2 linked regions of the Caenorhabditis elegans genome follow. The protein of the gene in region 2 purifies or fractionates together with the protein of the main gene of each other region. This does not show direct contact. Each region holds a gene or a part of one and is shown on either strand. Other genes may lie near its edges.

Region 1 (3,924 bases), on a different chromosome or scaffold from region 2:
AAGTAAAAAAATATTAAAAAATAAAAGAAATATCAGAAAGATTCGTTAAAAGCTTTGAAAATCGGACATTTTCGATGTTATTACAGAAATTTTTTTTTTTGAAATTTCAAATATGAAAATTTGGGATTTTTTCTTTCTCTTTTTCAGATTTTCAGATCAATTTCAGGCGGAACAATAAAAAGTGGATAATTTTGTTTTAACATATTTAAAAAAAATTTAATTTCAGAATGCTCACATGTTCTGGTCCCCTTCGTCCTAAAATCTTGATATCTTTAACATTAGCTCCTTCAAGAACATTCAATCGATCTCCAGGAATATCACTGATCCTTAATAATCCAGAAGAAGCTGTTGAAAGTACACGTGCACAATCAAGAGCAACATTTCCATTTCCAACAATTACAACATTTGATGTTGTAAGATCTGGTGTTGATGCATTTGGAACTCCATTATACCATCCAACAAATTCTGATCCAGATATTACATTTGAGGCATCACTTCCAGGAATATCTAAAGTTCGTGTTTTATATGATCCATATGCCAGAAGGACTGCATCATAGCCACGTGTTAACTCATCAAATGTAATGTCTCGTCCGATGCTGAAAAAAAAGTATGAAATTTGAAAAATTGCATGATTTTTCGTATTTGAAAATGCAAGAATGGCCGTGGAAAACCTCTTCCACGACCACCAAGAGTGTCGTTTTTCGATTTTTTGAAGTTTTTGAGGGAAAATCGAAAAATTGAGACCCCAAGAAACAGGATTTACAAAAAGTTTTACAAGTTTATGTGAATACTGTTTTCCTGGGGTCTCAAAAATATTTTTTCGATATTTCGAATTTTTAAAAATCGAAAAACGAACAATTTTCTGAGAAAATTAGAAAAATTGAACATAAAATATGATTTTTTTAAAAATCTAATTTCGTTTAAATTGATGAGAAAAAATATTAAAATTTACTCTAAAAAGAAGAAAAATGTCCAAAGTTTTAAGCTAACAAGTAGTGTACGTTTTTAAAAATCGAAATTTTTTTTTCGAAATATCGAAAAATCGAAAAAATCAATTTTTCAAAAATCGAGCATTTTCCGTTGTTTGTTGTTGAAACAATCGAAAACCGACACTCTTGACAACCCCCCACGTGTCGATTTACGCGGCTCGTGTACTCCTCGAGGAGAAGACTGAATTTTTTAAAGAATTTTCAAGTTTTGGAAACTAAAGGTCGATTTTTAAACATTTTTCCCAACTTTTCATATGGAAATTTTGGTTTTTTGTGAGATTTTTTCAAAAAAAAAAAAAAAGATTTTCGAACCTTCATGCTTCTAAATTTGAGGAAAACATGCAATTTTAAGTGGGATTTAATTGTTTTTTATCTGGATTAATTGCAAGAACTGAAAAATATGAATAAGATTTTAAAAATCTAATAAATTTGGCTTTAAAATTTTCCTTTAATTTTTTGACTTTTGTTTGACTTTTTAAAAATAAACTTTCTATAAGAATTTCGCAAATAAAAACTGTAAAATTCTTCTCCTCGTGGAGTACACGAGCTGCGTAACTCGACACAGTCCTCCAATAATTGAGAAATTAAATAATTACTTCACATTGCAGAATAGTTTCAGCCGTTCACGATTCTTTTCGAACATTGCATCAAATGTGTTTATCACGTTTTTTACCTGAAATTTTGAAATTTTCACAATAATTTTTAGTTAAAATGGTATTTTGGCACCAATATGCAATTCGGAGAAGATTTTTTCCTGATTTTTCCGTTTTTAATTGAATATTGTGGCCAAAAGAACCGATTTTCTTAATTTTTTCTCGAATAAATCTCACTTCCTGATGATCTGGAGCCACACCATACCGAACTAATCCAAATGGAACTGGAGAATTTTCGAATACATCTACCGAGAAATTACTTTTTCTAAGCAATCCGTTGCACGCGAACATTCCTAAATTTAATTTTTTTGGAAATAGTTTACGAAATTTCCAGAAAATTGTTCTATTATTACCTGCGGGACCGGAGCCCACAATTGCTAAACGTGGCTTTCCGGACAGTTTTCTTGATTTTAAATTGAGATTCGAGCAGGCTATCCTTCGTAGTAATGTTTTACCGAACATCTTAAATTAATTTATTATTCAGACGCGAAATTTCGCTTACTGTATCAGGTCTCGACACGACAAATTTTTAATAAATGTAAACAGGTGCGCGCCTTTGAAGATTACTGTATTTTTAAAAATTTTGATGCTGATTTTGTTAAAAATTTTAGTTTTTTTTTTAAATAATTAAATAAATAAATTTTTCCGTAGCAACGAAAGTTTGAACCTACAGTACTTTTTGAAGGCGCACACCTTTTCACATTTGACAAAAAAAATGTCGTGTCGAGACCGGATTCCGCGTAATATTCCGCAATTTTTGAGCAAAAATCGAAAAATTTGGCGACTCGGTGATTGAAAATGTAGAAAATAATAGGAAAGAGTAACCAAGAACAACTAAAAAATCAAAGGAAAAAATAATTAATTCATGTAGGCAAAAAAATAAGACCCATTGACAAAATTATGTGTAATATATATTCAGTGGAATGAAGATTTACGAGGCAACACGATAAAGATGAACATGCACGGCAGAAACAGAACGATGACGTGTCTCGCTTTGATCAAGGTCCAGAAGTGATACAATATCATCTGTACATTGTACAGTAGACGTTTGAATATCAGACTTGACACTTCCACCGAATCTTCTCTCAACTTCCATCGCAAAAACTAGAGCTTTATTGATAGATGCTCCCATTCCATGGATGAAAACTTCATCGAATGCGTTATTCAACATCTCCTCGGTGGATTTTGATTGTGATTCGACGTTGGTTTTTCTGCAAAAAAACACTATTTAATGAGAAATTGTACAACTAAATTGATAAAAATTAATCACCTTGTGATATAAATATGATTAGGATTACTGCTTGGTTTTACAGGCGGACGGCGCCTCATTTCGTTTGTTTTTTCATCGAATCGTTTCGATGATGGAGTCATGCGGATAGCCATTATTTTAAAGGAACAGCACAACAAATGCCATGCAAAAGCAACTGATCGATACCCACGGACTGAGACGTTCACCGATTCGAGCACACTTCCAGAAAACGCCGAGGAGACTGAAAATGCTTTGAATGTTCGATTTCTCCACGAAAAGTCTGCGTCTTCAACAAAAAAAAAACACTCACCCTTCCTTGTTTCTATCGATTATTCTCGGTGCAAAGGCTCTGATGTAGGCACACGTGCAAATGAGAAGAAGGATAACTGAGATAAGACTTTGGAAGTTGAAGATTGCCGACTGAAAAAACAATGAAATGAATTTTCATTTTTGAAATATTTATCAGCAAGAAAACTCACCAGTTTTGCTGTTTCTGCAACCAAACAAGGTGCCTTTGCTGAAATTTATCACTAAATATTGATTCAGACTCAGTTTAATACGGAAAAATTAAAGAAAAGTAGTTTAAAACCTCGAAAATAATATAAAATCTGCAATTTCAATGCATTGCAAATGTTGGCTGTTTAAAGGGACACGACATTTCGCGACGAGTGGGTCTCGCCACGCGCGCCTCGACAGTAGGCCAGCCTCTCGGTCAAGTGAATTTTTTCTTTTTTTGCGATTTTTCCTATGATTTTTCTCATCGATTTCCGCGTTTTTCTTCACAAAATTATCTTGAATCGATTCAGAAAAAATTTGCGCTTCACTTGACATATCATGATGCTGAAACTATCTGCAAATACTCAATTTTCGATTTTTATCGCCAGATTTTCCTGGAAATATTTAAAATTAAAGTTATGGTTTTGCAGGTAATATGCGTTACGTTTCGGCTTACTTGCTCGCCGTCCTCGGAGGAAATGCCAACCCAAAGGTAATTCTTAAAAGGAATTGAAACATTTTAACATTTATTTCAATT
Region 2 (3,924 bases):
AAATCGAGTCAAAAACTGAAAATTTACTGTAGAATAAAATTAAAACTTCTCCTCGGGGAGTACACAGCGATTCTACCATTTTTTGAAAATTAGGGAGCTCAGAAAAATAAGAAAAATAAGAAAAATCGATAATTTTCGATTTTTCGCCAAAATTCCAATTTTTCAATAATTTCAGTTTTTTTAAAAATGTTTTTTGAAAGAAATTTCTCAATTTTTCCAGTTTTTTCGATTTTTCCTACTTAAAAAGTTCGAAAAATTAGGAATTTTCGATTTTCCGTCAAAATTCCAATTTTTCAATCATCACAGGCAATTTTTGTGCTTTTAAAAACGTTTTTTTTCCAGTTTTTCGATTTTCCGGCTCTCAAAAAAATTAGGAAAATTTCAAATTTTCGCTTTTTCGACGGCATACTGACCAGGATTCCCGCCGATCGTTGAGTACGGTGGAAAAAGTGCGTCCGCTGGAACTACAGTATCCGGAAGAACCCTCGAACATTCTCGAATCACACAACCATTTCCGAGCACCGCACGAGCTCCAAGATGTACAAATGCGTAGATTTGAGCGGCATTGACGACACATTCTTCTTCAATAAATACATAATCACCAATCATAACGTTGCACATTGTTGGTTTTTTGCTGAATATTTTCATGCATGGACGGATGTTACATCGAGACTTTAGAACACAATATTTTCCAATTTTAACTGTCGCCAGATCACCGCGAATTGTCACTCCTTCCTCGATTATTGTCTGCAAAATTTCACTTTTTTTGATGTTTCAAATCAGGGGTGGGCGGCTATTTATTTTTGGCAGATTGCCGGTGTACCAAAATTGCCGGTTTGCCGAATTTGCCGGAAATTTTAGATTTTGGCAACTTGACAGTTTACCGAATTTGCCAAAAATTAGAATTTTTGGGAAATTGCCGGTTTGCCGGAAATTTTAAATTTTTACAAATTGCCGGTTTGTCGTTTGCCGAAAATTTCAATTTTTGACAAATTGCTTATTTGCCGGAAAATTTCAATTTTTCGAAAATTGCCGGTTTGCCGAATACTTTCATTTTTGGAAAATTGCCGATTTGCCGAAAATTGTAATTTTTGTCAAATTGCCTATTTGCCGGAATTTTTAAATTCCGGCAAATTGCCGGTTTGTCAAGTTTGCCGGAAATTTTCATTTTCGGAAAATTGCCGGTCTGTCGGAAATTTTAATTTTTGGAAAATTGCCGGAAATTTTTTTTTCTCGCAAATTTACGGAAATTTTAATTTTTGGCAAATTGCCAGTGTGCCGGAAGTTTGAATATTTGGCATATTTGCCGGTTTGCCGAATATTCCTAAAATGCTCAATTCCGGCCCACTTGCCGATTTGCCGGAAATTTTCATTTTCGGAAAATTACTGATTTGCCGGAATTTTCATCTTCAGCCGGTTTACCGAATTTTCAAGAAATTTTAATTTTCGCCAAACTGTTGGTAATTTTAAGTTTTGGTAAATTGCCAATTTGCCGATTTGCCGAAAATTTAAATTTTTTCCAAATTGCCGGTTTGGCAAATATGCCAGAAATTTTAAATTCCGGCAAATTGCCGAATTTGCCAAAAAATTTGTATAGCTTATTCCAAAAATCTAGAAAAATTATATTGCGCTATTTTTTTAATTTCTTTTTTTTTTCAAAATACTTGGAAAACACTGAATTTTTTCTAAAAATTTCCAAAAATTCTCACTTTTCCAGCAATTAAAATATTCTGTGTTCCAGCAATTGCATGCTTCTTATTCACTTTATTTCCCGTATGCGTCTTCGCCCATTCCGTCTCATCGTAGTAGACAATTGGAAGATCCATCTGAAAATCAGCGTCTGAAATTTTTCTAGTTTTTTTTTAAATTCAAAAATATCACAAAAGAGTTCTACTTTTTCAAATCGAGCGGAATTTTTCTCCAAAAAGACTACAAAAATAAGGGAATTTATATATAACGGGGGAATAAATTAAAGCAATAGTCATGCAAAAAAACACAATTTAAGAAAAAAAATTGGGGGCGCAGGAATCAAATTTCTTCGAGAATTTTTTCGTTCAAAAGGTTTTAAAAAATTGGTAATTTTTGGAAATAAAAATAATAAGTACATACACGAATCGCCCAGAATAAGATGAAAAAAAGTGAAATGTGTGTTCAAAAATTTCGGGAATTAGAGAGAAAAAAACGTGGAGAAGGGATTAAAATTGGAGAAAATATATAGGGAAAAAATACAAAAAAATGGAGAAAAAAAATTAAGTAAGAGCTCCGAAAACTGGATTGTAACGACAAATCGATGGTCCTCTCTCCATGTATTCGGCCTTTGTGTGTGAAACTTGGTAGAATTCCGACTGAAAATTTGGAATTGATAGTTTTTTTGGTGATTTTTTCACTAAATTTTGGGGGAATTTAATTGATTCTAAATTAAAATTTAAAAAAGTTTCCAAAAAAAATTTCATTTTTCAATTTTTTCCGACTGAAATCTTGGCTATTTTTGTGTTTCAAAAAGTTTCGAAAAATTGCCAAAAAAAAATTAAAAATATAATTTCCGAATAAAATTTTTTTTCAATTTTTTCTCAAAAACTTAAAATTGACTTTTTTGGGAATTTCAAAAAAAAAAATCAAATATTAGATTTTTTTTTGGAAAAAATCGGAAACATTTGTTTTTTTTCGAATTCTACCGATTTTTTTAAAATTTAATTTAAATTCGAAATCTACAGTTTTTTTTCACTAAATTTCGGGAGAATTTAATTTATTCTGAATAAAAATTTTTTAAAAAGTTTCCAAAAAAAAAAACAATTTTCAATTTTTTGAGTTTCAAAAAGTTTTGCAAATTTGAAGAAAAACAAATTAAAAATATAATTTCCGGATAAAACTTAAAATTGACTTTTTTTTGGGAATTTCAAAGAAAAAAAAATCAAAAATTAGATTTTTTTTTTGGAAAAATTAGTTGGCTAGTAAAAATCGATTTTTTTTTGAATTTTCAAAACTTGTTCAGAAATAGTGCTTTATTTATTTCAAAAACCATAGTTTTTCAGTGAAATTTTTTTATTTCTTAAATTCGAAATCTAATTTTTTTTTTTTTGATTTTTTTCACTTTCAAATTTCGGGGGAATTTATGACTTTATTCTGAATAAAAATTCAAAAATTTCCAAAAAAAAAATAAAATTTTCAATTTTTTTCCGACTGAAAATTTGGATATTTTTGAGTTTTAAAAAGTTTTGAAAAATTGCCAAAAAATTAAAAATATAAATTTTTAAAAATTTGTTGAGGTAACTGGAATACAAATTTCAGAAATTTCATTCGAAGCTCTGAATAAAACTTTTTTTTTTAATTTTTCGAATAAAAATCCGAATTTTTGAAATTTTTCTCAAAAAAAATCAATTATTTTTGGGAATTTTACAGAAAAAATCGAAAATTAAATTTTTTTTGTTGGAAAAATTAGTTGGTTAGTAAAAAATAATAAAATCGATTTTTTTAAAAAATTTACGAAATTCAAAAAATATAGTTTTTTTTAGTGAAAAAGTTTAATTTTCATTCAAATTTTCGAATAAATTATTTTCAACGAAAGAATTGATATTTTTTGCAAAAAAAGTACCAAAATTTCGGTCAAAAATGCATTTTCTCGGAAAAAATAGCAATTTTTTGAGATTTTCAAAATTTATGCTCATTTTTTTTAAAAATTTATGCTCAATTTATTAATTTTTAATCAACTTTTCAAAGTTTACCGGAAAAAATGGTTTTTTTCATTAAAAACTGTTTTAAAGCATATTATTCCCATTTGATAAGGCTGTTTTTTGTGAAAAAAAAAGTTTTTTATTCAGAAAAATCGATTTTTACTCAACTTTTCCAGTATTTCTTCAATATTCTTTTTTTAGATATATTTTTTACAAATATTTCCAACTGACAAAAACTCACAGTGGATGCACT

The links.
Region 1: the proteins of dnc-5 (region 2) and Y62E10A.6 fractionate together in Caenorhabditis elegans (co-fractionation; one large-scale study listed by BioGRID). This does not show direct contact.

Annotation. Positions count from the first base shown.
Region 1 is NC_003282.8:13,370,179-13,374,102, reverse strand, and holds the start of Y62E10A.6 (NADPH:adrenodoxin oxidoreductase, mitochondrial), read right to left. Parts: upstream 2,105-3,924; coding exon 1,996-2,104; intron 1,936-1,995; coding exon 1,820-1,935; intron 1,663-1,819; coding exon 1,586-1,662; intron 597-1,585; coding exon 236-596; intron 1-235. Other genes in the region: Y62E10A.24 (Ribonuclease P protein subunit p20), read right to left, coding at 2,574-2,853, 2,913-3,025; popl-7 (Protein kish), read right to left, coding at 3,030-3,132, 3,202-3,311, 3,371-3,394; rplp-2.2 (Large ribosomal subunit protein P2), read left to right, coding at 3,823-3,879.
Region 2 is NC_003279.8:2,881,615-2,885,538, forward strand, and holds the start of dnc-5 (Dynactin subunit 5), read right to left. Parts: upstream 1,841-3,924; 5' UTR 1,827-1,840; coding exon 1,710-1,826; intron 748-1,709; coding exon 414-747; intron 1-413. Other genes in the region: arx-1 (Actin-related protein 3), read right to left, coding at 2,250-2,345.